Linked DNA regions of Notamacropus eugenii. The protein of the gene in region 1 purifies or fractionates together with the protein of each later gene. This does not show direct contact. Links are inferred from orthologs where the notes say so. Each region holds a gene or a part of one and is shown on either strand. Other genes may lie near its edges. The genes, in order: TMUB1, ERLIN1, TMEM259 and AMFR.

Region 1 (7,038 bases):
GTTCACAAACGGCCTCCCACTCTTGGGGGGCGGAGGGGGGGTTCCGTCCTGAAAAAAGATCCTGAGGTCCAGGGAGTGAGGGTAAAAGCCCTGGGGTGGGGCGCAACCCAGCCCCCTCCCAGATACCTCCTCCCCACTCCTTCTAATGCCCCAGGGGCGGCTCCCCAGGAAGCAGCCGCATGGATCTGAGCAGGCGGTTCTGCAGAGCACGGGTGGGGACTGGAGGGCGTGGAATAACGGGCCCGCGCCCACGCGGCCCCCGGCGCCGAACCACGCGCCAGGCCCGGGCCCGCAGCTCCCCCGCCGCGGCGTGGGGGGGTGCGAAGGGTGAGGGGAGGAGAAGAGAGCCGGGGGCGAGCGCCAGCCTCTGGGGCCGGGAGGGGCCCGGCCCGGGAAAGCTGCCATTACCAGGGAGGCTCCGGATCCCCAGCCCCCAGGGAAGGACGGAGCAGCTGCCCAGACGCCTCCACCGGAGCGGCCCCACCTCCCGCGCCTCCAGTTCTGGATGCTCGGCCCCCTCCCCCCGGCCCTTTCACCGGTCAAACTCGACCCTCCCCCTCCCCATTCAATCTCGGGGGTTCGGCTCTCGCGCCCTCCACCCCGGGCCCGAGGCAGCGCGAGGCAGCGTCCGCAGTCTGCAGACGGGGCGGCCTGAACCGGGGCCCCAGGGGAACGTGGCTCGGACCCCAGCCCGAGCGGAAGCTACACGGCCTAGACCCCAGCCCTGCAAAGCCCTCAGACGGGAAACGGCGTGGCTGGGCCCCAAGGAGCCCGCGGACGGCCGCTGGCCACGTCCGGCCCCGGGCCCCCTTCGGATGGCGGCTGGAGTGCCCCGGGCCCCTCCGGCCCCGCAGCCCGCGGCGTCCCCGCGCCCGGCTTACCCTCGATGGAGATGACGTGCTCTCGGATCTGGTTCTGCAGCCCCAAGTCCTCGATGCGCTCGATCAGGTCGTAGATGGCGTAGATGTTGGGGTGCACCGACTCAAAGCGCTGGATCTCGGCCCGGATGGCCGCCGAGTTGGACAGCGCGAACTGCTGGGGGGGCCCTCCGGCCAGCTGCTGGGAGGGGCCGCCGGCGCCCCCAGCCCCGGGCCCCGCGCCGCCGAACTGCCCACCGCCCCCACCGCCCCCGCCGCCAGCCCCCGAGGCCGCCAGGCTCTGCTGCTGCTGCGGGCTCTGCCCCCCGCCCGCCTGGAAGTTCATGGCTCGGGAGCCGCGGGGGCCGGGCCGGGGCGGGGGCGGCGCTGCTGCGGCGGCGGCGGGGGTCGGGGTCTAGCAGGGGCCGGGACCGCGGAGCCGGAGGTGCGGGGCTAGCGCATGGAGCCGGAGAGCCGGACGCGCCGCCGCGGCTGCTGCAGACGCTGTGGCCGCCGCTTCCCGGGCGCCCCCCGGAGCCACGAGCCCGCCGCCCGCCGCCGCTTCCCCCCAGCAGCCAGCGGCAGCGGCAGCGGCAACAACAACGGGACCGGGAGCGCGCCGCCCGGGCCCTCCCCCCGCGTCATGCGCACGCACCGCCGCCCCCGCCGGCACCGGCACACGCAGCCCTAGCCCCCCTTGCGGCCGCCCCCGCCCCGTCCCCTCCCCCTCCTCGGCGCGCGCTGCCCGCCGCCTCGGTGTCCGCGTCCGCCTCCGCTCCCACCCCTGCGTGCCCCGAGCTTCTCTCGGCCTCCGGAGCCCTTCCTCCTCTGCCCCTCCCCCGGGCTCCCCAGGAAATCTGCTCCAACGCTGCGCCTCGCCCCTTGCCTCGAGCCTGGGAGACGGCGCCTCCCCCTTGGTTTACTTTCTTCACTGAGTGGTCACGGACTGACTGCCCAGGTGCCTCCTTGCCCTCCAGGGTCAGCCCCTCACGGCCCTGGAGTGACCCGACATGCCAGGTCTCCGGTGGGCAGTGCCTGGGCTCTGACTGGCTGAGAGAGGAGGGACCAGCGTCCAGGCCAAGCTTAGTGCACAAGTACAAGGACTGGCACATAGTAGGCGCTTAATAAATAGAAAGCTGTCTTGCCTAAATCTGGCTTTTTATTCTCAGACAGTAGCAGGGCCAAGGCTTGACGTCATCATGCACTCATACATTCATTACTGGTATATTCTATCATGGCCTGGTTCTGCCCCCCACCCCAAGCCCAGTAGTTTCTCAGTTCTGGTTCTAACAGTATTGTCTTTGTGTCCCCAACACCTAACACTTCTGTGTTTAATTTTTAAAAAATATTGATTGAAATATCTCCAGAGCATCACACCTCAGGAGTCAATGTGTTGTATTCTCCATCACCCTAGCCTCCTATTATTTAATTCTTTGTTCTTACATCCCCAAGGTAGTGCTTAACACATGGTAGTCTGTTAATAAATACTTGATTGATTTATAGGATAGAAAGAATTAACTGGAATATAACTAAGCAGGGTTGCATACTATACAAAGAAATCAACCAGGGACAATAAATGTTACTATACACTCTCTTTGCCTTTGCCAGTCCTGTTCAAGAGGACCTACCATAATGTATGTCTGTTCGTTTTCCTTTTCTCCAAGCCCCTTTCCTCCTTTATTTTGGCTTGTGTTCAGCTCATGTAGATCCAGAAAACCATCTATAATTTTCCTCCCCATCCTTTTCCTCTGCTGGAGATGCCTCTTCTGTTCCCTGGAAATCCTTAAAATCTATTCTTCTGATCTGGAACTTCCAAAATAAGGAATTCCTACTAGTCAGACCTGTGATGTTACAGGCAGGCTTTTTGTGGTAGAAGATATATCTTCAATCTTCTGCCGTCTCTTGTTCCCAAAGTCGAGCTGCTTTGAGCCATTAACTTTTCTCCTAGTGTGCCCAAGGGTTGCTCCAAAGTCCCTGTGGGGTTACCCTTGGAACTAGTTGCTAGCCAGTCAGCACCTAGTAGCTCCCTGGGAGATGTGAGTTCAAGTTTCATTTTTGTCATTGATTAGCTGCGTGGGCTTGGACAATCCAAATTACTTTTCTAGGCCTCCGGTCCTCTGCCGTAGGATTGAAGGAATGGGACTAGATGATCTATAAATTCCCTTTTAGTTCTAAAATTCTCTTATTCTAAAATATCTTGCAAGATAACTAAACATAACGTATTCATATGGTGCTTTGATTTAGAGTTATGTAGCTTTGTAAGGTTTACAAAATGCTTTCCTAACTAAAAGTCTGCAAGGTGAGTCGTGTAATTATTATTTCCATTTTACAGAAGATAAAACTACTACTCACATAAGAGTTTGCCAAGTTCACATAGCTGGGGAATGGAGAATGAGATTAAAACTAAGACCTTCTTATTATAAGTTGTAATACAGGGGTGAGGTCCCGGAAGCACAGGGAAAAATGAATTTGAAACCAAAGAAATTGGAAAGGGGAAGTTGTAGGTGTGGGAACTAGACGCCCCTCAAAGTTGGATAGGTATCAAGACGGGCACAGTTCTGGGGCTCATCTCAGATTCTTGGTACCAGGTTTCTATTAAAAAACAACTGGTGATGGTATTTGACTGGGTTAGTTTCTCTGGCAAGTCACTTTCTGTGAAAAGAGAAGTGAATTCGGAATGAGGCAACCTGCTACTTAGTGCGATATTAGGCAAATCCCTGTACCCCCTCTATGGGTTTCACTTTCCTCATCCACAAAATAAGGACGTTAAATGTTATTAGGGTTCTTAAAGCGGAGTCCTTGAAGTGGCTTAAAAAATATCAGGGTAATTACATTTCAACATAATTTATGTTCTTTTTAATTCTGAGTTTTACTTTATGCACTTAAAAACATTTACCTCAGAAGGGGTCGCCAGTCTTCATCAGACTGCACACGCCAAAAGGACAGATGACCCCTTCCAGCTTTGACCCTGCCTTGCAGCTGGCCAGGGTTACTTGGGCTGAAGAAACCCAGAGAAAGGGTACTCCCTTTCCTGACCTTCCCCATCTTCTCCTACTCTTTCTGGTCCCAAGCCCGGGAACGTTTCCGGGACAGTTAGGCGATGAGGGGGCGGGGCCGAGTGGCATCCTCGGGACTACAAGTCCCATAATGCTCGGGGCTGGTCTGTGCGGGGCGGGGGGGGGGCGGGTGGACAGGTAGGAGCGACCTCGGCGCCGCGCTCCCGGAAGTACTGGGGTGTCCGACATGGAGATGGACCAGCTGCGCGGTGAGTCGAGGGCACTGGGACCCCTGCCAGTCCTATTCTCCCCACCTCAACTGCGGCCCCAGGTTTTCCCACAGCCTCCTGCAAACCTTTTAATTTTGAGGGTGTCTTTTGGGGTGGAGGGAGCTTCCCAAGGGGATCCCGGGTCCCGGGCTTGGTGATGGGGGAGGGCGGGGAGAGGATAGGACCGGACAGGTGAATTTGGGGGCTCTAGGAAACAGAGAAGAAAAAAAATACCCATAGGGTGGATTTGGGGCTTGGTGAAAGGGGGTAGTGGGTTCTCTAAAAAGATAGGAAGCGAGGTTCCATAGGATGGGACTTGGGGTTTGGGGGTGAAAGGAGTGGTGTAGAGATGAATGGGGGGGTGTTTAGGAGACATGAATTGGGTCCCAAGGGAGGGGACTTGGGTTTTGATGATGGAAGGAATTGTGTGGCGATGGGGGTGGGGGGTGCCTTTAGGAGACTTGAATTTACGGTCTCAAGGGATGATGGAGGGAGGAATTATGTAGTGATGGGGGCGCGACAAGCGTTGAGAAGATATGAATTAAGGTTCAAGAAGGTGGACTTGGGGTTTGGAAAGTTGTGTAAGTTGGGGGAGGGGTTTTAGGAGACAGAATTGAGGTTCTAAGGGATGGGATTTGGAGTTTAGTGATGGGGGAGAAACTGTCTAGAGATGGGGTTGAGGTCCCAAGAAATGGGATTTTCAGTTGATGGGAGTGGTATATGGAATCAAATTTAGAGGCTTTTAGCGAACAAAAGAGTAGAATTAATATTGTAGTAGGGAGGGGCATGTAGAAGTGGGTTTGGAGGCTTTAAGATGCAGAGAAGTTGAATAAGTTAGGAGTTAGAGTTTGATTGATTGTGGGGGTGTTGTAATTGAATAAAGTGGGGGGGCTTCAGAAGACCAGTTGGGAGGTCCAAAGGTGGAATTTGGGGTTTGGTGATAAAAGAGCAGGTTTAGAAGACAGAGGCTTTAGAAGACAGCAGTGTTGAGGTACCACAAGGTGGGATTTGGATTTTAGAGATGAGGAATAGAGAAGTAGGTTTGGGGACTTTAGGAGACAAAGGAGGGCAGCTGGAATTCAAGAGTTGAGGGCTGTTGTGAAGCTGGACTAGAGTGGGGAATAGAAGACTAGTGAAATAAGGGGGTTTTAATAGGCCAAGATCTCACTGGTCTCTTTATGTCCTCATAGCTCAGTAGCCTGGCCTAGGCGGGTGCCATGGCCCTGATTGAGGGGGTGGGGGACGAGGTGACTGTCCTTTTCGGGGCACTCCTCTGTCTCCTGGTGCTGGGCCTGGCCTGGATCTCTACACACACCTCAGAACAAAGTGATCTGCTGCCCCAGGACTCAGGGACCCCCTCCCCACCACAGTCCAGAGAGGTTGCAGTATCCACAGTCAGCAACAGCCAGGATGCTTCGGGATCTGAGGCCCCCACACTGAGACACCGGCTACCAAGCTTACAGTCAGAGCCTGGCACGGTATCCCCAGAAACACCACCCCCCAGCTCTCAGCCAGGACCCTTGGTGCTTAGGCTGAAGTTCCTCAACGACTCTGAGCAGGTGGCTAGAGCCTGGCCCCACGATACCATTGGCTCCTTGAAAAGGTGAGTAGGGGTGGGGAGAGAAATGGGAAAGGCAGGGAAGGAGATGCTGAGAGAATGGGTTGGAGTCGGATATAGAAGCTCAGAGGTCATCTCAGTTCAGTGGTATCAAACTCAGAAGCAGACCCCTGCAGGGACTAACTGACTTAAAAAACCACAAATTCACATCTCTGGGGCATTGTATTTTTATTTATTTTGTTAAACACTTTCCAGTTACATTTAACCTGGTTGGAGGTCGCTGGTTTGACACCTCTGAGCCTGCCTAATTAGTAGAGGAATTGGAGGCAAGCCCAGATCTCCTAACTGTAGCGCTATACCGGGCTGCCTCTCCTCTCTGATGGACTGCGGGCTAATGGGATGGAGAAGGGCAGTGGAAGGGGGGCGGGAACTGTTGCCACAAGGCGTAGGACTAGGATTGGCTGAGACCTGCTCTCTTACCCAGGTCCCTCTCTCCTCAGGACCCAGTTTCCAGGCCAGGAACACCAAGTTCGACTCATCTACCAAGGGCAGCTTCTAGGAGACGATGCCCAGACACTGGGCTCACTTCACCTCCCCCCCAACTGCGTTCTCCACTGCCACGTGGCCGCCAGAGCAGGTCCCCAACACCTCGGCTGCCCACCGGGGTCAGAGACCGGCCCCTCGGGGTTGGGAGTGGGCAACCTGCTGCTCCCGCTGCTGCTTCTCATGCTGACGCTGCTTTGGTACTGCCAGATCCAGTACCGACCCTTCTTTCCCCCAACCGCCACCCTGGGCCTGGCCGGCCTCACCCTGCTGGTCAGTCTCCTGGCCTTCGCAATGTACCGCCGCTAGTGCCTGCCCGGGCCCAGGGCCGCAGCCACCCCGGATCCCTGTCTCCGAGGCACGGCGGGGGCTGCTGCCTGCCCCGGCCCGCCGCTCGGCCGTGCCTCTTTCCCCTGCCCTGGAGTCCGGCTCTGCACCGAGAGCTGCGAGGGCCCTCGGAGCCCTCCCCATGTGACCAGCACTGCTCCCGGCTGGGCCCCGGGACCGCGGGCGCCCACCCCCCGCTGAGAGCGGCCTCGCCGCCGGGCCGCTGCTGCCCCTGCCTGGGGGTGCAGGGCGTGCCCAAGCCTTTGGGCCCCTCCAACGCGCAGCCTGCCCATGCGCCGTGAGAGTTGCCAATGACCCCCAGAGCGCCTGCCGGGCTCGCAGGACAGGACCGTGCCGCCGCTCTGGTTCTTTGCATAGACTTCTATTAAACAAAAATGTGAATTCCCAGCGCAGCGGGCTGTGTGCGTGCGTGCGCGTGACCTGGACAAGGGAGGGGCCTGCGCGGAGCAGCGGAGTCCCCGGGGGCG
Region 2 (7,594 bases), on another chromosome or scaffold:
GATGGTACATCCAAGTCATTGTTAATTTGAAACAAAATACCATTCCTAACTACTAGTCACAGTTTGTCATTTCTTCTACCAAATTACCCCTATAGTGACCTACCTGTAAAAATATTCAAAAACAAGCTTGTTTAAAGTATGTCTATGTCCTCAATTAGAAAAATGTGTTCAACTCAAGAGTTAGGAGAAAGGATACACTGAAACTGGGAGTGGTAATACTCTTTTAATTAACTCTCTGCCCAAGGCCTCCATTGACTGATCTCCCTGTAGATAACAGATCTCTGTGAGAAGTGCTGGCAATAACATCTAAGAGAAACTAAATTTTCCACACTATTTTCCCCTTACCCTGTAAGCTAGACTAACACAGGCTGAAAAGGAGGAAAAGTAGAGTGTACCCAAAACTATTTACACATTTATCTGCATCTCATCCTTCTTAGCCATAATGTGTTATGGTCACTGTTTAGAGTGATCAGATTCAGGAAAACTCCTGGAGAAAAAGGTTGTCAGGAAGAAGCTAACAAACAAATAAGAGTACCAGCCCCACAAACACTGAATGCCACTGAGGCTCAAGGACAACCCTGGGCCTCTGCAGTGTGTAAAAGTCAAACCAGTTGTAACCAATGTCGGTGGCACCGCCCCCCGCAGTACTATGTACTTCACAAAGGTTGCTTGATGATAATCAACCCAATTCCAGGACTCTGAGACAATACTGTAGTAAGGACAACTTCCAAATTCCCAGGGATCATAGCTGTCTTTGTTGGATAACCTAGGCTGGATGTACACACTGGTCTGTTGGGCTCCCATGACCTGGCACTCACCTGTAGTACACAGCAAGGTGTCCCTCCTCGATCCTGTGGATGGAGGCGTAGAGGAGAACCACCACCAGCCCTGCAGCTGCAGCCCCCAGAGCCCCGGCTTGAGTCATATTCATCCTGGCTCTTCCTATATGAGGAGCGAACCAATAGTTCTGATCTCCCTTTCCCCAGATGGTCCAGTCCCCTCTCTATAACCAATGTTGAGAAGTCTAGGTCTCCAAAGGAGCCTCTCTTCCTCCCCTCCCTCATCTGCACCCTCATAGAAATGGTCCCTTCTTCTCTGACCCACCCATTGCCCAAAACCCACCATAATTCCACCCTTATTTCCAGTGACCTCCCTCTTCCCCAACAGCTATTCCCACAAAATCCTCCATTACCCACTTATCACATCTTTTCCATTCAGCCCACCAGTTCACTCCCCCTTCCCTCTCCAACCCCCTTTTTCTCACTCAATAATTCTAAATGAACCCCACCCAGCCACCCCATCCATCCCTCAAGGACAATCTCTATCTCTCTCAATTACAACATCTCCTGACAAATACCTTTTTCCTTCAGTTAACAGCAATTTTCCCAAGACACTTCCTCTTTACCAATAATCCCTCTTTTCTAGAATCTCCCTTTCAACGATACTCTTTCTTTCCTCCCTCAATGAATTTCAGTCTGATCAGACATCTCCTACCCTACTTATCCCCCCTCAGCAACACACCCATCTACAAAGTCACTAGCCTTAACATGGTCTCCCCTCACTCTTCACTGTGAGGATCCTCACTCCTACCTGTGACCGAACCTTCTGGTTCAGTAAAAAAAAAAAAACCTCCTACTCCCCTTCTCCTCCAGAGACACCTCCAGAAACGCCCACTCTCTTAAGTGATAATTTTTCCTTCCCCTTCAATGACAATGTCTATTCCTGACAAATGGTCCCTCCACTTTGCCTCAGACAGTCCTTATAACGGCTGACATTAATGTACAGTCTCTTAATGTAGCCAGCTTCACATACAACTTATCTCACTTAATTCTAACAGCAATGCTAGGAAGTAAGGACTATAGGTATCCTTATCCCTAAGGGATAGTGTCAGGGAAGCCAGGGAACTGTCCGTGGTCACACAGTGTCAGGTGGAAGCTGGACAGCCCTGAGTCTTCCAAGTCTAGTGGCAAACTCTCTCCCGTCAGGATATCCACTTTTCAGTCCTGCTTCTCAGGGGCAAAGAAACAGGGAATCCCAAGTGACTCTTCCTTCTCTCTCTGTGACTAAGTCCACCCTTAGTGATCTCCCCCTCCTCCATGACTTCCTATCACCTAAGGAGTGGCTCAGCCTCAATACTCCCCCTGGACTCCGACTGACCGAAGAGACACAAACTGCCCTCCGGGACACCCCCTCACATCAGCCTCTGACCCTCCCTTCCGGCCATTCTTGCCCCACCCCTCACTGATCATCCCCGCTAGTGAGTGGTCGCCTGCTCCTCTGCAGCCACCACCCTCCAGACTGCCCTGGAAAAGAAGGCTGACTGTGTAGCCAGATGACCTGCTTAGAGGCGGCTAGGTGGCCCAGGGAACGGAGCACCGGCCCGGGAGTCAGGAGGACCCGAGTTCAAATCCGGTCTCTTCCAGCAAGTTCTCAGCAACTCCTCTCCCTCCCACCCCCTCCGCTCTCGGGTACAAGTCATCCACGTCCCTCCCCCAGAGAAGGCCTGGGCTTCGGCTTCCCGGTGGGGAGCGCCAGGGGCTGCAGGTCGCCAGTCCGAGCAGGAGCTGGACTAGATGACCCCATCGGGCACCTCCTCTACCGGGCCCCCCACACCTGCTTTCTCCCCGGCGGCAGCCCCCGCCCCTGCCTGACATCGCCTCTGCTCCCTGCCTCCCCTCAGCCTCGGGCCCGGGCGGGCAGCCCCGCCCTTCGGGACAACCTGGGGGACCGGGGTGCCCGGCCCCCGCCTCGGCGGAGGTGGCTTGTGACGGCCGCGCCCCTCAGTGACGCCCCCTGCCCCGCGGATGCCGCCTCCCCCTCAGGTACAGCCCCCTGAGGAGGGAGGATGCCTCTGCCTCCCGCCCTCCCCGCCCGCCCCCAGTCTCACCGATCGGCTGCGCATCTCCCCGGCGACGCGCCGAGCTCGTCGCCCACCTTGCCAGGGACCACCGGCCGCCCACAACCGCCGGCGGGCCCACAGTCCCGCGCTTCTGCGCAGGCGCCCGGTATACGCATGCGCGGTCACATCCTGTACGGTCAAAAGGGGGAGACGGCGAGTGAGCCGAGACAAAACTGGTCTCTCGCTCTCGATGCGCGTTGCTTGGGTTTGTCTCCCCCTGGTGGGGATGTTAGGATAGGAGCCTAGATCCACGTGGCACAGGCGTGGGAGGCCTGCTTCCGAGGAAGGGTGGGGCAGGGACATAGACCCTGAAGCTCCTGTGCACCATGTCAATTTCTGGGAGGTTTTCTCTTTCACTAGGGAGCTGTGGGATAGAGCAAACAGCTAGGTGGGCAGCCCCTCAGCTTTGCCTGCCATCCACCTTCCCAGCTGCCCAGTCGATCCAATAAAGATTAAGATTCTGCCTGCCTTCTCTGAACAAGCATACTTTCATACATATATGCATGTATAAGAAAGGAATGAATCAAATGAAACAGAGATTTCAACAAACCACTGGAAGTGTCTGGTATGTCAAATTCATTTCTTTCTTTTGCAGAAACTTCTCACTAAGTTGCAGTGAAAGTTATGAAAAAGAAATAGTAATTATGCAACTGATAATTCTGATAGATATAAGGACTTGAAGTGAACAAACATCCATTTCTTTTCATTCAAGTTTTATTGTAACTCCTCTCCTAAACAAAAGGTTTGCTTGGAAGGGGGGAAAGTGGGGAGGGGGGGGAAGTAGGGGGGAGGGTTTCTTTTTGTTTTATTCCTGGAGGATGGGTTTGCTTCTTATATTTCGATTTTAGCTCAGTTGAACTTATAGTTATTAACTGCCAATAAATGCTTGTTGAACAGGCTTAAGTTCATGCTTGGACATATTAGACTATTTTAAATGATTAAAACAATTATTATGTTTTATTATGGGAGTATCATATATTTGCCTTCTCAGTGTGTGGGAGCAAGCTTACAGGGAGGAAAAGAATTTGAAACAAAAGTTAAATGAATTTTTAACAACTTATTATATATGAGAGAAAAAACTTGGATGATCTTGCTTGTGTTACAACTCAGAAATGGGAGTGGAAATTCCTCACTGTGATCTTGTGGGAGGGGTTAACTTTGTTTTTCAAAGATGTGACAACACACCAAGAAGTAAGATGCCCATTCATCTCCTCTTAGAAAAGAAAAAGGCAGCAAATAAGAAATGATGAACAGGAAGGCTTCAGAGAGGCCTGGAAAGACTTATATGAACTGATGCTGAGTGAAAGGAACAGAACCAGGAGAACTTTATACACAGCAACAACCACAGTGTGCAAGGAATTTTTTCTGGTACTTCTTGCAGTGCAAAGACTTAAAAAATTCCCAATCGTTTCTTAAGGCAAAATGCCTTCCACATCCAGAGAAAGAACTATGGAATTCAGATCACAGAATGAAGCAGATCATTTTCTTTTGTATTATGTTTTGGTTTTATGGTTTCTCCCATTCATTTTGATTCTTCTATGCAACATGACTAAGGTATGTATTTAATAGGAATGTATGTGTAGAACCTATATAAAACTATGCCCTCTCAGGGAGGGAGTGGGAGGGAGGGGAGGGAGGGGGGGAAATTTAAGATATATGGAAATGATTGTAGAACAGTGAAAACAAATAAGATAATAATTTTTTAAAAATTTGTACCAACAAAAAAAAAAAGAAAAAGGCAGCAAGACACAATGGATAGACAACTGGCCCCAGAGTCAGGAAGACTGAGTTCAAATCCTACCCCTGAAACGTACTGGTTTTGTGTGTTGCAAAGGTACCAAGCTACATTGGGAGAAAGTATCCTCAGCTGGGCCTTTTGTACCATAGAGTCAGAAGGACTCAGGACTGTGGGTGTGTGCTTAATAAATAAGTAGTCTGACAAGAGGAAATTCCAAGGGTGTCATTATGTAGCTTGTAAGGACAGATTGTATTCATTTGTATTCCACAATGTAGCAGGAAACTAGGTAGCGAAGTGAAAGCAGTGCTGAGCCTTGAGTCAGAAAGAAGTAAGTTGAAATCCAGCCTTAAATACTTAGCAACTGGTCCAGTCACTTAACATCAGGTTTGTCTCAGTTTCCTCAACTCTAAAATGTGAATAATAATGACACATACCTCAAATAGTTGTTGTGAAGATCAAATGAGATGCTATTTATAAAGTGCTTAGCACAGTGCCTAGCACATATTAGGTAGGATACAAATGCTTATTCCCATCCTTCATTGCTTTTCAAACCTAGCTCAAGTGTTGAGAGGCAGCTTAGCACTGGGAATAAAGGTCTGCCCTTGGAGTCATGAGATCTGGGTTCTAGTTCTGCCTGTGACATCGCCTGACTGTGTTACCCTGAGTCAGTCTTCGAATCTCTCAGCACTCTAGGGAAATCAACCTAGATGTCCTGGGAGAAGTCCTTAGTTTGGTGGTTGTTTTTAAGCTGGTCTTGTGATTTAATCAGTGGAGTATTTGTCCACTCAGCCCAGAGGAGTAAAAGGAGGAGTTGGGCCAGGAACTGAAGCCTCATCTTCCCACTTCCAGGGGCTGCTGCCTCCCGGCATCTGCACCAGCTTTTTCAATTCTGCATTTTCTCAGACACTTCCACCTCTGGGCTAAGTTGCAGGTGGGACACAGATAAATACATCATGGTACTTCTAAGCTATCTAAGGGCAATTCAGTTCAATAAGTACCAAGTGCCTGTTCTGTACAAGGTACTTTGCTAGGTAATCTGCAAACTAAGACAAAGTGTCCCTCCCTTCAAGGAGTCTCTGGGATCCCAATGTAAAAGCCAGCCTCATACTTTTAGGGCAGAAAGGATGTGAGAAGCCATTGAGTGCACTCCCCTCACTGGAACATGGAAGAAATGAGAGCTGTAGAGGGGGAGCCACCCAGGAAGGCTCTTCTGACTCCAGAACCAGAGTTGTTCCCATGGGGCCATGCTTCCAGGACATAGATAAGTAAATACAAAGTCATGTCAAGAGGTAGATCTAGAGTTGGATGAGACCTTCAGGTATGGTGCTTCCCAATTGTTTAGGGACTTGAATAATAGGTTCAGGAACATGGGATGGTTCAGAAGAGAAAGTGAGGTTTGTAACCTTGCACATCCCTCCCTCACTCAAAACAAAGTCAAGTGCAAGACATGTCATCATTTCTCTGATGGCATGGTCTTCTTGGAAAACGGAGGACAAACACAGAAATTTTATATATATATGTATGTATGTATATATGTATTTATGCATGTGTGTATGTATGTATGTGTATATGTGTATATATGTGTGTGTGTATATATATACATATATATGACTCCAATCCCCATACCTCAAATATCAAAATACAATTTTTTTAATTTGCAGAGAGTTGTGTGAGGCACTAAAAGGCTAACCCATGATCATCCCACCATTTGAGGCTACCTCTCAAAAAGATGCAAATCTAACAAACATGAAGTGTCCATTGTGTGAGAGCCACTGGGGGGTGTACATAACCAAACAGGCAAGGAGACAGACTAGGTGGAATAAGAATGAGAGAATGAGCATAAACATAAGGCTATGAAGTAAATTGGAACCAGATGGTAGGTAACCTTGAAAGTGAAGATCAGTTTATACTTTAGTAGGTAGGCAATGAAGAAGGTTTTTTTAGCCCAGTAGAGAGAGCTGAGGCAGCTATATGATAGCAGTAGAATCAGGACAGAGCTGAGTTCAAAGGCTACCTCAGACACTTACTAGTTGTGTGACCCTGGGCAAGTCATTTGACCTTGTTTGCATCAGTTTCCTCATCTGTAAAATGAGCTGAAGAAGGAAATGACAAACCACTCCATGATCTTTACCAAGAAAATCTCAAATGGGGTAATGAAGACTCAGACGCACCTGAAACAACTGAGCATGTTGTTGAAAAGAACCGTTGAACTTGAAGTCACAGGATTATAGATGGAAAGATGGAAGAGATCTCCAAGGGCCCCACCTTTATAGCTTTGTGGCAAGGAGCAAATGAGAAAATGTATACACAGCGCTCTGAACACTTTAAAGGGACAGACAAATGCTAATTGTCATTAGAAATAACTAGATCACTGTGGGTTAGGGTTAGAAAGATTACTCAGACAAGCAAATAAATTTAAATGGAGGGGAGATGAAACCAGGGCAAGAAGACCAATTAAGAGGCTATTTAAATAAATTACCTAGAAGAGACTCTAAAACAATGTTACAATAGATGGTGAGAGAAGGGAGACAGCAAAAGATATTGCAGAGAGAGATAATTATCAAGACTATTCAAGTAAAAAATAAATGAACAAATGGTAACATCATCGAGAGAAACATGTTAAAAGGAAGGGCAGGGCAGGTTGGGTATAGGGAAGAAAGAAAGACTGATTTCAGCTTTGGATATTTTGAGATTAAAATACCAACTGGATAGTCAGGTGAAGATGTCTATGAGTCAACTGGAAAAAATTGGCCTAGGACCTGGGAAGATAGTAAAGGTAGGAATAAAGTTTTAGGACTTCATCTGTATAGAGGTGATGGTGGCAGATCCTTGGCCACAAGCTGAAATGGGGTACAAGATTGACTTTTCTCAGGCACAACCTGTAAAACTAATTCCAGTCCTAGACCCAGCCTTATTCCTGACCACTGACTCACAGACTTGGCAACACACTGATCCCT
Region 3 (7,611 bases), on another chromosome or scaffold:
ACTTCTCAAAAAGGAAAAGAAGTCCCAAAGCGGTAAAAGTAAGTCCATCTCACAACTCTATAAAGAGGCAAAGAAAGGATTTGAATTCAGATCCCCCCAATTCCAAATATACTGCTTCTTTCAATGCACTATCCTGCCTTCCAAAATTGGGGGGGGGGGGCACAGACTCATGAAAGTGGCTGCAGGGGGATAGGATCTGGAAAGGGATACCGAGGTGGAGGTTTTAAAATCCTCAGGGTCTTTCCCCGTGTGTACCTTTATATGGCTCTTACAAGGCTTGCATGTTTTTTTTCCCACCAGAAGGTTATCTCCCTGAGCACTGGGTCCCAGTCTTTTGTGTTCCCTGCACTCAGTACAGTGCCTGGCCCATAGTAAGCTTTTAATACTTGTTGGCTGATTCAGGGGCAGGACAGTGGGTCAGAATCAGTTTTAGAACCTGGTCTAACCTCCATCCAAGTAAGGACAGGAAACCAAGCCTTGAGGGGGTCCAGTCACACAGCTCTTAAGCTCAAGACCTCGAGTTTGGATTCAGATCCCCCAAATCCACAAATAGCTTCACTATCCCCCCCTCTTCTCAGATGAAGGCAGAGGGCCCAGATTTGGGGGGCAAGGAGGAAATAGTGAGTGTTAAAGACTTTTGGGGACAAGATGTCAGATCAATGTGAAGTACAGCCCTCAAAGGCAAAGGGTAGGGGGTGGGAGGGGCTGTTAAAGACTAGGGAGGCAGGATGTCCATCACAGACCACAGGGTCTGCAGGCTGGATGTCCATCAGGGGAGTGTTGAGTGCTCCAGGGCAGGCTCTGCGCAAGGGGGGCACTGTGGGGCTGGACGTCCGGGGGGTGGCAGCTCTGCACAAGGGGGGCACTGGGGGTCAGGGCGTCCATGGGGGTGGCGGCTCTGCACAAGGGGGACACTGGGGGGGCAGGTCGTCCATGGGGGGGTGGCTCTGCACAAGGGGGGCAGGACATCCATGGGGGGGTTCCGCACCAGGGGGCAGGACGTCCATGGGGGTGGCTCTGCACAAGGGGGGCACTGGGGGGCAGGACGTCCAGGGGGGTGGCGGCTCTGCACAAGGGGGGCACGACATCCATGGGGGTGGCGGCTCTGCACAAGGGGGGCACTGGGGGGCAGGACGTCCATGGGGGCGGCTCTGCACAAGGGGGGCACTGGGGGGCAGGACGTCCATGGGGGCGGCTCTGCACAAGGGGGGCACTGGGAGGCAGGACGTCCATGGGGGCGGCTCTGCACAAGGGGGGCACTGGGGGGCAGGACGTCCAGGGGGGTGGCGGCTCTGCACAAGGGGGGCACTGGGGGGCAGGACGTCCATGGGGGCGGCTCTGCACAAGGGGGGCACTGGGGGGCTGGACGTCCATGGGGGCGGCTCTGCACAAGGGGGGCACTGGGAGGCAGGACGTCCATGGGGGCGGCTCTGCACAAGGGGGGCACTGGGGGGCAGGACGTCCATGGGGGCGGCTCTGCACAAGGGGGGCACTGGGGGGCTGGACGTCCATGGGGGCGGCTCTGCACAAGGGGGACACTGGGGGGCAGGACGTCCATGGGGGTGGCTCTGCACAAGGGGGGCACTGGGGGGCTGGACGTCCATCGGGGCGGCTCTGCACAAGGGGGGCACTGGGGGGCAGGACGTCCAGGGGGGCAGCTCTGCACAAGGGGGGCACTGGGGGGCAGGACGTCCAGGGGGGTGGCGGCTCTGCACAAGGGGGGCACTGGGGGGCAGGACATCCAGGGGGGCTGGCGGCTCTGCACAAGGGGGGCACTGGGGGGCAGGACGTCCAGGGGGGCTGGCGGCTCTGCACAAGGGGGGCACTGGGGGGCAGGACATCCAGGGGGGCTGGCGGCTCTGCACAAGGGGGGCACTGGGGGGCAGGACGTCCAGGGGGGTGGCGGCTCTGCACAAGGGGGGCAGGACATCCAGGGGGGCTGGCGGCTCTGCACAAGGGGGGCACTGGGGGGCAGGACGTCCAGGGGGGTGGCGGCTCTGCACAAGGGGGGCACTGGGGGGCTGGACGTCCATGGGGGCGGCTCTGCACAAGGGGGGCACTGGGGGGCTGGACGTCCATGGGGGCGGCTCTGCACAAGGGGGGTACTGGAGGGCAGGACGTCCATGGGGGTGGCTCTGCACAAGGGGGGCACTGGGGGGCAGGACGTCCATGGGGGTGGCTCTGCACAAGGGGGGTACTGGGGGGCAGGACGTCCATGGGGGCGGCTCTGCACAAGGGGGGTACTGGGGGGCAGGACGTCCATGGGGGTGGCTCTGCACAAGGGGGGCACTGGGGGGCTGGACGTCCATGGGGGTGGCTCTGCACAAGGGGGGCACTGGGGGGCTGGACGTCCATGGGGGTGGCGGCTCCGCACAAGGGGGGCACGACGCCCATGGGGGGGCTGCTGAGCCCGGCAGGGCGGAGCGGGGGGGAGGGCGGTGCTGCGGCCCTCGGGCTCACCTTGAGCAGCACGAAGAACTCGAAGACCCGGCGGAAAGCAGGCGGAAAGAGGCGCGAGTAGGTCACGGCCATCTTGAAGAAGAGCGCGTGGAAGAGGCGGTCGCGCACGTTGATGAGCGGGTTGGGGTTGGGGTTGAGGTTGGGGGTGCGCGCCCCGCGGGGGGTCCCGGCCCCGCCGCCTCCGGCCGCCGCCCCCCCGGGCCCGGGCCCAGCCCCGCCGGCCGAGTTGGCAGGGCCGCTGCCCGGGGCGTTCCCGGGGCCGGGCGGGGGCGGCGGCGGGTTCTCCGACATTCTGCTCTGGGCCGCCGGGGCGCTAACAGGCCGGGGCTCCCAGGGAAGGCGGCCCAGCCGCCATGGGGCCCCTCCTGGGCCGCGGCGCTCCCGCCGGGTGCTCGCCCTCGCCCCTGCCCCACGCTCCGGACGCCGCCGCTTCTCCTCCGGCCGCGCCGCCGCCTCCTCACAGGCGCCTACAGGCCGCCATTCGCCGCCTCAGTCGCCGCGACCCCGGCCCTGCTGACGAGACGGCTTCGCCCGCGGTGAATCCTGGGACGCTGGAGGAACAGCCCCGCCCTCCAGTCGGTTCCTCCGCCCTTCCCTCCCTCCCCCTCTCCGGCCCTCCCCTCCGTTCCCGGCCGCCCAGGCGGGGCCAAGCCAAGGCGTCTTTTGCATACTCTCCCGTGAGCCACCGCCGCACAAGCTTCGACTCGAAGTTTTGCAAATGCAACCGCATTTCTAGTGCAACACGAATAAAGTGGGAAAATTTTACTTTTCAATTATACGTTGAGTTCTTATTCTGAGACTGGCTTCATCTAGAGAAGAATAAAAAGAAAAATGATGTGTGGCAATACTAGTCATCCTAATCATAAAATAGATCTATTGTTCAGCCTTAAATAGCAGGAGCTAGCCCCTGATTTTCGTGCTCGCTTCGGCAGCACATATACTAAAATTGGAACGATACAGAGAAGATTAGCATGGCCCCTGCGCAAGGATGACACGCAAATTCGTGAAGCGTTCCATATTTTTTCAAACTCCTCCAAAGTTTTTCTGTAACGCCTGGCAGACGCGAGGGATTTCAGAGCTGGAAAGGGTCTTTGTTGGAGGTTGTATATATGTCTAAATATGTGTATATCTGTATGTGTTTATATATCTACACACGCTCACATTCGCTCGCTCTCATGTATAGGGAGGCCAGGAGCATTCAGCCTGTGTACAACTGAATGTGAAACGTAGCAACCTGTACCTGAAACCCCTGGACCAAAGCTTCCAGAGGAGGGTGGAAGGAGCATCCCTGTGCTCCAGGTGGCCTCCCTCTTTTATTGTCCTGTAAGAGGCAGCATAAGTGTAGTGAGATCAGGGCGGGGAAGGAAGAGGAAGAAACCTCAACACCCTGGAATGGAGGTAAAGTGGTGGACTTGAACCCCAGCTCAGCATTTACTAGTTGTATGCCTGAGGGCGAGTCACTGAACATTTCCTCACGCTCAATTTCACCATCTGTCAAATGGGGATAATAGTGTTCACCTCAAAGAGATCTTGCAAACACGCAGTTCAAGACACTTACTGTGTGTTGGTCCCGGATACAATCAATGGCTAAGCACCCACTATGCGCCAGGGGCTAGGATTGTTGTAACTGTTCAGTCGTTTTAGTTCTGTCGGTTCTGTCAGACCCATGATCCTTGTGGAGCTCTCTGGGAAAATCCATGGGATTTCCTTGGCAAAGATTCTCTGGGTTGTCAATAGAATTTTGAATGGAGTCCAGACTGGACCAGTCTCTAACCTGGGCATGGCCAGAGGAGCTAGAGGCAGATGTGTCCGGATACAAAGTAGCGGTATAATTTATTTCAGAGTGAGGAAAATGACTTGCATCCAAGGAAGCCCCGCTCCTGACGAGGGTCTAACATGTTGGGGTACAGGCAATGTTTATATACATGTGGACTGGGCTATGATATAATCATTTTTAGGTCTTGCGTTATTGTTCCTAGGGGTCCTATAGAAACGTTATTGTCCCAAGTCTTGGGGATCATGATTATTCTATGGGGTACAGAACCAGAATTCTGTGACAAGGACAGGGATTGTGAGCATGTCAGAGACGTGGTAGATATTGGCTCTCAGGTCACTGGGAAATAGAAGGATTGAAGACCTGGTGCAATACATTTTGCCAGAGGGTGAGATCATCCAGAGTGCAAAAGATTATTGTTGTCAAGGTCAGGACACAGCCTGTTTGCTGGCCCTTAGCTCTGGGAAACAAGGTATCTCCAAAATGTTTTAACAAAGTTTTACAAGGCCAAAACCCAAAGTCTGGTCAATAGCCCTTTATGTCAGTCCCCTGAGGACCAACATAGCTAACTTCTGAGAGGCTCATCACCAGACTTGACAAGATAGTGATGAGACCTTAGCCAACTCCTGAAGATCAACTAGTAAAGGGGTTGTCCCAGTGGGATACTGGAAAGTATATTGGATTTAGAAATGGAAGGTTTAGCTTCACAATCTTGACTGCCACTTACAAGCTCTCTGATTTGGGGAAAGTCACTTTAACCTCCCTGGGCCTCAGTTTCCCTATCTATAAAATGAGGGGTTGCACTAAATGGTCTCTGCTGAGAACTCTTTCAACCCCAAATTCTATGAATTCATGGATCACTGAAGTGATGTTGCCAACCAGACACTGAAGGAAGAAGAAGCTCTTGGGCATCTTGCCAACCAACTACATACTAGAAGGCTCCAAATTCTTGAGGAAGAAGACATTGACCCAGGAAGAAACCAGGCTGGGGACAAATCTGGGATTCTGGAAGAGTAGATTTTTCCTGGGCCCTCTCCCATAAGTCACTGATAGCATTTCAAGACAGAAAAGATCCTCACAAAACATCTAGTCCAATTCTCTCACTTTGCATGGAATGGAGGACATAAACTTTTGTGGCCTCTGCAAGGAAGGAGCCAGCTGTCTGTATTTCCAGTGCCATCTTGAGGCTACTCCAAACCTCAGGGTAATTTGCATGACCTAGGAATTAAGAAGCCTCTTGATGAGGGTGAAAGAAGAGAGTAGAAAAGCTGGCTTGGACCTTAACATTAAAAAAAAAACAACCCTAAGATCTTGGTGATTGATTCCATCACTTCCTGGCAAATAGAAGGAGAAGAAATGGAAACAGCGTCAGATTTTATAATCTTGGGCTCATGATCACTGCAGATGGTAACTGCAGCCATAAAATGACCCTTGTTCCTTGGAAGGAAAGCTGGACAACATACTCAAAAGCTGACAAAGGTCCATATGGTCAAAGCTATCGTTTCTCTAGTGGCAATATATGGCTGTGAGAGCTGGACTATATACAGAAAGCTGAGTGCTGCAGAATCAATGCTTTCAAACTGTGGTGCTGAGGAAGACTTTTGAGTCCCTTCGACGACAAGAAATCAAGCCAGTCAATATTTAAGGAAATTAATTGAAGCGATTCCTTGGAAGTCAAATACCAAAGCTGAAGCTTAAATACTTTGGTCACATAATGGGAAGATGGGACTCACTGGAAAAAACTCTGAAGTTGGGAAAGATTGAAGGTGAAAGGAAAGGGGGATGAAAGAGGATGAGATGGACAAATAATATCATAGGAACAACAAACATGAACTTGGGTAGACTTGGAGAAGTAGTGGAGGATGGAAGGGCTATGGCTATGGTCCAGAAGGTCATGAAGAGTCAGATACAGACTGAATGACTGAACAATTACTGCAAAAGGGAAGAAAATGGGAGAGAAGGAATGAAAAAATGGCAAGTAGAAAGCAGTAAGAGTGCTTTTCCAGGAGGAAAAGGACTAAGTGAGAGGCTAAAGAAAGGAAGGAGTGAATGGAATTTAGTTGCCCTAAGAGTGAGGGCTGGGGACCTTCAGTTGAATAAAGCTAGTTAGAGATCCTCACAACCAGCCTTGGGAAGGTTGTGGGCCTAATAAAGAGATGTGTTAACTGGCCCAGAAGTCTATTTATCCTAGCCTGTTTTGAGGTGATGCTTTAGAGGAAGGCAGAGGCACAGAAAGCAATTGTAACAACCAATCATCTATGACTTTAAGGTTCAAATTTTCTCATTTCATTCTTATATGTTTGGGAGCCCCATGACAGCCTTGTATAAACTGCATCCCTTCCTTACCTTCCCAGATTCTAAAGTCTTGAAGAGATCTCCAGTGGACCAAACCATGTAGGCTAGGCTACAGCTTCCCCTGAAAGGCATGGAAGTTGTCCTTGAGATCTGATTGGTCCAATGGGTTAAGGCTCAAGTTGTTGATAGGTCTTCCAATCAACTAGGGATATAAAGGATCTAGAGTTTAAAGACACTTCAGAGGCCATTAAAGAGAACTCCATCAAAACCCTTCATATTTGTTCTAGTCAACTCATGACATAGTGGATAGAGTGCTGGACCTGGAATCAGGAAGACCGGAATTCAAATCTAACCTCAGATACTTACTAGCTCTGTGACCCTGGGTAAATCATTTAATCTCTGTCTGCTCCGATTTTCTCAGCTGTAAATTGGAAATAATAATAGCATTTATCTCCCAGGATTGTAGTGAAGATCCAATGAGATAATGTTGTTAAAAGTTGAAAATACCAATACAGCTGTAACTGGTGCCTCAAAGTCCATTTTACAGATGAGGAAATTAAGATTAGAATGAGGAGGTTGGATCAGATGACCTTTAATGATCCTATGATCCTTCATGACCTCACTGGAGCATTTGACACTGCCTACCACACCCTCCTACTTTCTTCTCACTTGGTTTCTATGACCTAGCTCTCTTCATATCAGAAGAACACAGGTTTTTCTCCTGTCTTTCTGACTATTCCTTCTTAGCCTCCTTTTCTGGATCATTGTCCAAGTCCAATTCCCTTAATGTGGGTGAACCCCAAGGCTCTATCCAGAGCTATTATCTTTTCTTTCTTTATACTTTCTCTTGATGACCTCATCCAGTCCCATCCATTTATTCATCTTCTCTTTGCATCTTACTGATGTTTTAAAATTATGTTTATGGAGAAGGAGGAGCCAAAATGGCAGAGTACAAGGATGGACCTGCTCTAACTCTACCCCCATAGCCCATAAAATACCTGTAAAAAATGACTCCAAGCAAATTCTAGAGCAGTAGAAGCCACAAAATGATAGCGTGAAAGAGATTTCCAGTCCAAGACAGT
Region 4 (7,416 bases), on another chromosome or scaffold:
GAAAGGAAAGAGAAAAAAGGAGGTAATAAATATAATGTATCAAGAAAAAAGAAGCTGAATAATTTTTAGCTGGCCTGGTACAATAGCTCAAGAGGTACTTATAAGGATACAAAAAGCCTTGAAAAACTACCATCATGCCAAATTAACAGAAGTGTAGAGTTAAGAGAAATGAATCTGAAAATATAATAGTGCCTATTACCTTTACAAAAGGGAAAGCCAGGCAATGCAAAATAGCACACGATAGCAGGTGAAAGTAGAGACCACTGAAAACCAATAAGGAAAAAAAACCTATAGTAAAACAGAAGAGAACAAGTCAAAGAAGTCACTAATCTAAGAACCATGGAGACTCACCTTGGTGTCCTTAGGGATCCATGCCATAGATGTATCTTATAAACAAGACCAATTCATTATAAGATTATTTTAGACACTTCAATAACTCAAACTCCTCTGGGACACTACATTATACCAAATTGTTCTCAGCTCCGAACAACATTACAGTAATGTTCCAGTGCAAAAAAGCAGGTTAAGGAATAAAAAGAGTAAGAAATGAAAAAGTAAAGCAAGAACAAACCAATCTGTAAGAAGGTAAATGAAATGCAGTAAGTCAAGATTAATGCAAAGCAGAAATATGAGAAAAAGGAGAGGAAAAAGATCAACTAAGAAATGAAAAATATATCCACATACAGAAGAAATAGAAACCTCAAACTGAGTCATCTATTAAAAAGCAGACAGAAAAATGAGGGGGAAAAGACAATTTTAAAAGAATAACTCACAAAAAAATCACTAGGCTTTACCTAATATTTTATGAATATATTTAAGACTACTGGAATTTCAACAGTAGATATGTAAGAAGAAACCCCTAGGAAAAAATCACTAAACAATACCAGTGACTGTTTGTTATATAAGCACAAGAGCTACTTATCAAAGACTTATTTATATCTTAAGTTTTAAGAAAACCCCCCCCACATATTAAAGATATTATAACCTTAAAGAATTGTCAAACTCCATTCTTCCCATTTAAAGTAAGCAATTTTCAAACTAAACAAAGTACAAAACATTAATTTCACTTAAAATTTCAATGGAATGAAATGAATTCTTTCCCCACTGCTATCCTAAAAATAGCACGCTACTACAGAGTATCAGTGCTACATGGAACAAATGGACCCAGTATAAATAGAGGTAAAGAAATTTCATGTATCTTGCATATATCCCTAACTTTTAAAGTCAGGAGAATTCGAATTTCAAAATAACAAGAACATCTCTATAATCTTCTCAAGTTTATAAATCTGTTTCTGAAACAGTGGTATTAATTTGAAGGAACTGCACACACTCTTGTGATTTTGGATACCAAGTGAATAGTCACAGAGAGGCTGACACTGACCTAAAAGGGCAAAGTGAGTGACAACGAAATTGACAACGAAATTGACAGTCTCCAATCGTGGAGTAACTGTACTTGGTGCTGCATGGTTTACACGAGAAACACACACACACACACACACACACACACACACACACACACGGATATATACCCCTCTTTTAGACTGGCTATTTATGTATGGCCTTCTCGACTTTCTTAACTCCTTTCTCGGTTCACGTGCCAGCACAAGCTATATTTCTGAAAGTGTAGGTTGCCTCCGTCTGGATATTGGTTTCATGGTTAAGTAAAGAGAGAAAACCAAACACGCAAACAGGTCCTTGCTAGACAGCGGTAAAAGAGAACAAGATCTTTCAGTGAGAAAAAATGGGCCTTATTCATGCCAAGACAAGGAAGTCTACACTCAAGTCTACAATTCTGGATCACTCAGAATCAAAGCTCCTAACATTCTTCTTCCCTGTCTCTGGAAAGCTCATTAATACAGTTATACTGCTGACAACCTCTGAAATTCACGCTCCTTAAAAAAAACTCCCCAAATGTGGCTGATCTCAAGGGAAAAAAAAGTTCCCATCCACATATGGAAGCACCGGAGTTGGAATAAAAGGATGTGGAGTTCCAATTCAGCCACGAATTTTCTACCCCTGTGACCACAAGTACGTCGCTTTCCCCCTGTGGCCCTCAGTTTACTCATTTGTCTCATAAGTACACCCCCGCACGCTGGAGCGGTGACCCCGACGTTCATAAACTCCGTCTCCGCTGCCCACTCTGATATGCTGCCTCCTATCCGAGGGTGCGGGGGGGAGGGGAGGGACACGGGGTGCGGGGGTGATTGTCTTTACGTACTCAAAGGCGTCCTTTCAGGGGCGCTCTGCAGGATCCCCTAAAACATGAAGGCTCCTAACCCACAGCTCCCAGTTACCCAGAGCTGTCGATCTCCTCCAGCTCAGGCGCCCCTCGCCCGGCCCCGCCCCCACTCGGGCTCCCCTCCGAGCCCTCCGCCCTGTGCCCAGCCCCCCCGCACCCACTCACCCACACGAACAGGCTGTCGGACAGCAGGTACTGGGCCACATCTCGGGCCCGGGGGCCCCCGGGGCCCGGTAGGGCGCTGGGCTGCGGCGGCTGGGGCTGCAGCGGCTGCTGAGGCGAGGCGAGCGCCTCGGGCTCTCCCGGGCCGGCGCCGGGGCCTGGCTCGAGCTGGCTGAGGGCGCGATAGGCGCTCACGATGGTGCCCAGCAGCGCCAGGCCGCTGAGGCCTGTGTAAGTGCGGAGGCTGGGCCAGGGGAAGCGCTCCAGGAAAAGCAGCGGCATGGTGGCGGGGATAGCGGCCCTGGGCCCCGGGCCTCGCCTCGCAGGCCCCGGAGCTGCCTCCCTTCTTCCTTCCCTCCCTCGCTCCCGCCCGCGCAGCCTCCTCCAAACGGCGGCGACTGCGACGGCGACAGCGCTCCTCGGCTCTCCGCCGCTCGCTCCCGCTCCCGCTCCCGCTCCCGCTACTGCCCCTGCCGGCGCGGAAGAGCCTCGGCCACGGGGCCGGCGGCCGCCCCTCCCGCCCCGGGGCGGGACCCGACCGGCCTCGGGCCCTCTCCTGGGCCGCTCCGAGCCGCGGAGCCCAGAGCCGCCCGCCTCCAGGTTGGGGCTGAAGGCGGCGCAGCTGACCCTCCCTCCTCCGCCTCCAGAAATCATAAACCCGCGAGGGCTGGGCGGGAGATCGGAAGAGCCAAAATAGCTCGGGGGAAACTAGTCGCGGGAAGGGCCCCGAGGCAGCCAGGGCCCCAGACTTTAGAGGCGGAAACTGAGGCCCAGAGCAAGGTAGGGACGGCTCCGGGGCTGCAGGCACAGGACCGGGGTTTGGGGCTAGGAGAGGGGCCGAGAGGAGACTAGGGCCACCTGACCTCCGGCCCCGGCCAGCGTAAAGTCCGTTCGGCCCGGCCCGCGCTGTGGGCTATTCTCGGCCGGGCCGGCGCTCCGCGAGGTCCCCCCAAGAAGCTGCGGTTGCTGAGCGGTTCGACCGGTCCTCCCCCGCCGCCTCCCTTCTCACTAAGAAATTAACAGAATTATTTCGTACACTCCCGTCACCTGTTAAGTTCGGAAAGCTTCCGTCTCCTCGAGAACTGACGATTTTTAAAAGTCGAAAGCTGCTAAGCGCACCAACTCCATTCTGGAGGGAAATACGGTGGCTCTGGCGGTGGGCTGGGAGCCACAGTGCCGGAGTTCAAGTTCCTCCCTGGTGACCCTGGACAAGTCACTTACTGGCCCTCAACCTGTTTATCTGTAAAATGAAGATAATAGCACCCACATCGAAGGGTTACTCTGAGGATCAAGTGCTTTACAAATATCAGTTATCATTGGCTTCTTGGATTAGGAGCTGCATAGAACTGTAGCTGAAAGAACAGTGCCCAGCCTACAGTTTTTTCCCCAAGTTCAAATGCAGTCCCAGTAGTGTGACCCTGGGCAAGTCACTTAGCCCTGTTTGCCTGTTTCCTTATCTGTGAAATGAGCTGGAGAAGGAAAGAACAAGCCACTCCAGCATCTCTGCCAAGAAAACCCCAAAGGGGTCACGAACAGTACTTGGCTTAGAAGCGCTTCCGTCCTTTTTTCATTCACTCAACTGATGCAGATCGAACAGAAACATAACTATTTGTGCAACAACCACGGCATAGAAAAAGGGAATTGAAGAACCAGACAAAACACCACTGCCAACGAATGATTCATTGTAACTGTGAAATGAGATATTTTCCAACACACCCATCATAAATTTTCTTAGTTTTGACGGTGCTTGTTGCCAGAGGGCTTTTATTGTCAAGAACACCGAAGGCAGCAACATTGATACAAAGATGTGTCAGCAAAAAAAAAAAAAAAAAAAAATTTTAAATGCTGAAGCAAATTCAGAAGGGGACATAAACAAGTAGGGTGATGTAGGTCCTACCAGGCTGAACGTCATTTAAAAAATAAGCTTTAATACATTCGTGGTTTCACACCTAATCCCCATTTCATCACCTTTGGATATATATGGATATAGGTTCATGTTTGAGGATTTTCTTAAATCAGTTTTTTTTTTTTTAAATTGGTGCTGCACTGTCATTTTAAATTACTTTGAGAACTACCTAGAAAAAGAGGCAGTTTGCAGCCGTGGAGAGCCACTTTAGGCAACCTTAAACCCTCCTGCCCTCAATTTCATCAATAAGAGAGGTGGAACTAGAAGTTTAAAGTTATCGGTCAAATGTAATACCTACAACCTGGCTCAATACTTGTATGTTGAAGTAAATTCCCCCAACAGCCAGTTATTTATTCCCTGGGCTTAACAGAGTACTAAAAACTGAAGGTGCTTTCAACCACTTTAGTAATTTCGTCTCTAACTAGTCACCATTGTATTGGCCTCACTGCATCAAGATGACTTTTTAAGCACTTGTGCTCCCTCCAACGTTTACAAACTATGGTGTTTCCATCCCCATGATGGAGAAAAAAATGGGGAGGATCCAAGAATATTTGATCAAGGTATGAAAACTACTTGATTCAGTCCAACAAGGCCTTGTTTTATATAAGCAGTAAGAGCATAGCATTATGAACTGGAAGGAACCTTGGAGTCTCTGGTCCAACTCTTTTATTTTACAGATGAGGAAACTGAAGCCTAAAAAGGAGAAATAACTTATCTATGTCCAAACTGTTATTATAATAGCCAAGATTTGAACTTGGGTGCTCTTGAGTTCAAACCCAGCAATTCTTTTTACTACACTGAGTTACTCAAAATAAGGTAAAAAGGTAATAGTCTTTTAAGAGAATTACTGATGTGCAGGGCAACTATAAATCCTGGTACTGATTTTTAAATGAACTAAACCCTCTACTGCATACTATATTAACTCTGTGAACCTGGGCAAACTTTCCTCTTCTAAGACTTATCAGTTGCAGGCCTGCATGAAATCACAGGTACAGTTCCTATCTTAAACCCTATCAAAATCCAAGCCACAGTGCATTTAGCAATGGGAGATATTCCCAACAGGTTTAAGATGATACCCTACAATTATAAGTAAATGTTGTCAAAAGTCCTTTCAGTTTAATATTACATGTCACACTACTACTTTTCCATATTTTAAGATAACTTGACACATCCTTTTCCCTTTTTAAAAAATACGGTTTTTAAGTTCCTCTCTACATTTAGTTTTACACATATTCCACCCCCCCAATAAAATTTGCATTGTGCATAACAGCTTTCTATTTATGTTCCATTTTGCAAAGAGACTAAGCTTTCTGAACATTAAATGTAGGATTAATTTAAGTGGTTAAGATATTTTACAAGTGGGTACATATTGATGTTAATTTCAAACACCAGAACTTAATAAACCTTCTTTACCATAGGAGTTCATTTAAAAAAAAAAAAAAGGCAGAATTTCTAATGAGAAGAAGAGGTTTACTATACAAGGGGACCTGTTCCTAAACACTCACAGAATCTTTGTTTTAAATGATTTTTATTTAAAATGACAAAGGGAACAGCAATGACCTTTTAAACTAAGCTCTTGCATTCTATATGTAAAAATAAAACCAGAACTTATATCTTTACAGTTTCTAAGAATCTAATACTGCAAATAGCTATTGATGCCAAACTAAAGATGCGTACACATCTTCCTTTAAAGACGATATAAAAATTTAACATTAGCAACATTCCCGCCCTCCATGGCTTAGCATCCTAACTGGGCACATTCTTCCCTACTTACAGTTCCACCTTTATGATGTACTTTGTCACTAAAACACAAACTATTTATACAAAGCAGTACTAGCTTTTAGCACCAGATTTCAAGCAGTTTCTCAGAAAATAACAAATTTGCCAAGATGTAGAAGTGACTTGAAAATGCCATTATTAGTAAAATGGACTTTACTGACCAATTCAAATTATGTTTTTGTTCTTTAATCATTAAATGATTCAGGCAAACACCAAGAGTCCAATTAAATGCAATCAAATACTTCAGTGATGGAAGAATTATGAAGCATTACTCTATTATAAAATGCAGAGGTGGAATTATTATAGTTCTAAACATTTCTTTGAACTTTCCTTGGCAAGACACACAAAGCAGCAAGCTTCTTGAAGCTGTCTTAGAGATCAGTACAATTTGTTCCAACCATTATTAACTAACAAAAATGTTAAGCCTCTTGAAATCAGGTAATCAAAAGTTTCTCCAAGGATATGATCTCAGAAACGCTGTAGTACGTAAGAGACTAAATGCCTTAAAAAACAAGTAGGAACTGAAGAATCAACATACTTCACTTTTCTAAATTTAGAAAGGGATTTTCATTTGGAACAAGCTGTGAGTTATCAAATGGACTAGACTGTTAGCTTCTGTCATTTGGAAAACCTTATACTTTCTTACCTAAGATTGAAAAGTACAAACCCACTAAGCAAACTGAATCACACTCCCTTCATGTGCAGTTCTCAAAGGTTAAATTTTTACTTGAAAGTACTGTAACAAAGTAATTGCAAGTTGTAGGGATGGGAAAATCATTTATGACAGAAAAATTTCTCCATCTACTGCATTAAACTTGGCATTTTCTAATTAGTATTATCATACTACATTTTAATTACTTAACAAAGTTTCACAAGTCTTAGTGCTTCTAAAGACTTTTAGAATATTAGTTTATTTTTGTAGTTTCATACATAAAAAAAATTTAGGCCATATAAAATGCTTGTTTTGACACTGAAGAGATCTTAAGGCAAATAAATATAGATTCTACATTTTCTGCCCCAGTCTACTGAATACTTTAAGGGCTATTCTGAATTCACTTTTCAGTGACGATTACTGCAGCCAGAAATATTCAAACTTCCTTTGAATATTTAAAGTGAATGATACTATATATTGCAGTTTTAAAACAATCAAACAAGGAATCTAATGTCTTTTACCTGATAAGGGCTCAATAAATACTTGATAAATAAATGTCAGTGAATAGAAACTTGTTGAACAAACACACATTCATAAACCTTATTAAATAAATTTTAAATTAGTACTGTTGTTAGTTCACATATCATGGGGACTTAATGAATAATGCTTAGAAAATTT

Evidence for each region.
Region 2: the proteins of TMUB1 (region 1) and ERLIN1 purify together in Homo sapiens (affinity purification with mass spectrometry; 3 studies listed by BioGRID and IntAct, with this or other methods). This does not show direct contact. The link is inferred for Notamacropus eugenii from reciprocal best matches to the Homo sapiens genes TMUB1 and ERLIN1.
Region 3: the proteins of TMUB1 (region 1) and TMEM259 purify together in Homo sapiens (affinity purification with mass spectrometry; 3 studies listed by BioGRID, with this or other methods). This does not show direct contact. The link is inferred for Notamacropus eugenii from reciprocal best matches to the Homo sapiens genes TMUB1 and TMEM259.
Region 4: the proteins of TMUB1 (region 1) and AMFR purify together in Homo sapiens (affinity purification with mass spectrometry; 3 studies listed by BioGRID and IntAct, with this or other methods). This does not show direct contact. The link is inferred for Notamacropus eugenii from reciprocal best matches to the Homo sapiens genes TMUB1 and AMFR.

What each region holds. Positions count from the first base shown.
Region 1 is NC_092874.1:94,994,929-95,001,966, forward strand, and holds TMUB1 (transmembrane and ubiquitin-like domain-containing protein 1), read left to right. Parts: upstream 1-4,025; 5' UTR 4,026-4,122; intron 4,123-5,312; 5' UTR 5,313-5,339; coding exon 5,340-5,725; intron 5,726-6,180; coding exon 6,181-6,532; 3' UTR 6,533-6,958; downstream 6,959-7,038. UniProt on the Homo sapiens protein: Involved in sterol-regulated ubiquitination and degradation of HMG-CoA reductase HMGCR. Involved in positive regulation of AMPA-selective glutamate receptor GRIA2 recycling to the cell surface.
Region 2 is NC_092872.1:249,189,579-249,197,172, forward strand, and holds the start of ERLIN1 (erlin-1), read right to left. Parts: upstream 3,010-7,594; 5' UTR 2,888-3,009; intron 2,428-2,887; exon of another isoform or gene 2,338-2,427; intron 2,164-2,337; exon of another isoform or gene 1,358-2,163; intron 943-1,357; 5' UTR 932-942; coding exon 819-931; intron 1-818. UniProt on the Homo sapiens protein: Component of the ERLIN1/ERLIN2 complex which mediates the endoplasmic reticulum-associated degradation (ERAD) of inositol 1,4,5-trisphosphate receptors (IP3Rs).
Region 3 is NC_092875.1:61,373,599-61,381,209, forward strand, and holds the start of TMEM259 (membralin), read right to left. Parts: upstream 3,010-7,611; 5' UTR 2,752-3,009; coding exon 2,461-2,751; intron 1-2,460. UniProt on the Homo sapiens protein: May have a role in the ERAD pathway required for clearance of misfolded proteins in the endoplasmic reticulum (ER). Promotes survival of motor neurons, probably by protecting against ER stress.
Region 4 is NC_092872.1:473,920,828-473,928,243, forward strand, and holds the start of AMFR (E3 ubiquitin-protein ligase AMFR), read right to left. Parts: upstream 3,001-7,416; 5' UTR 2,684-3,000; coding exon 2,405-2,683; intron 1-2,404. UniProt on the Homo sapiens protein: E3 ubiquitin-protein ligase that mediates the polyubiquitination of lysine and cysteine residues on target proteins, such as CD3D, CYP3A4, CFTR, INSIG1, SOAT2/ACAT2 and APOB for proteasomal degradation.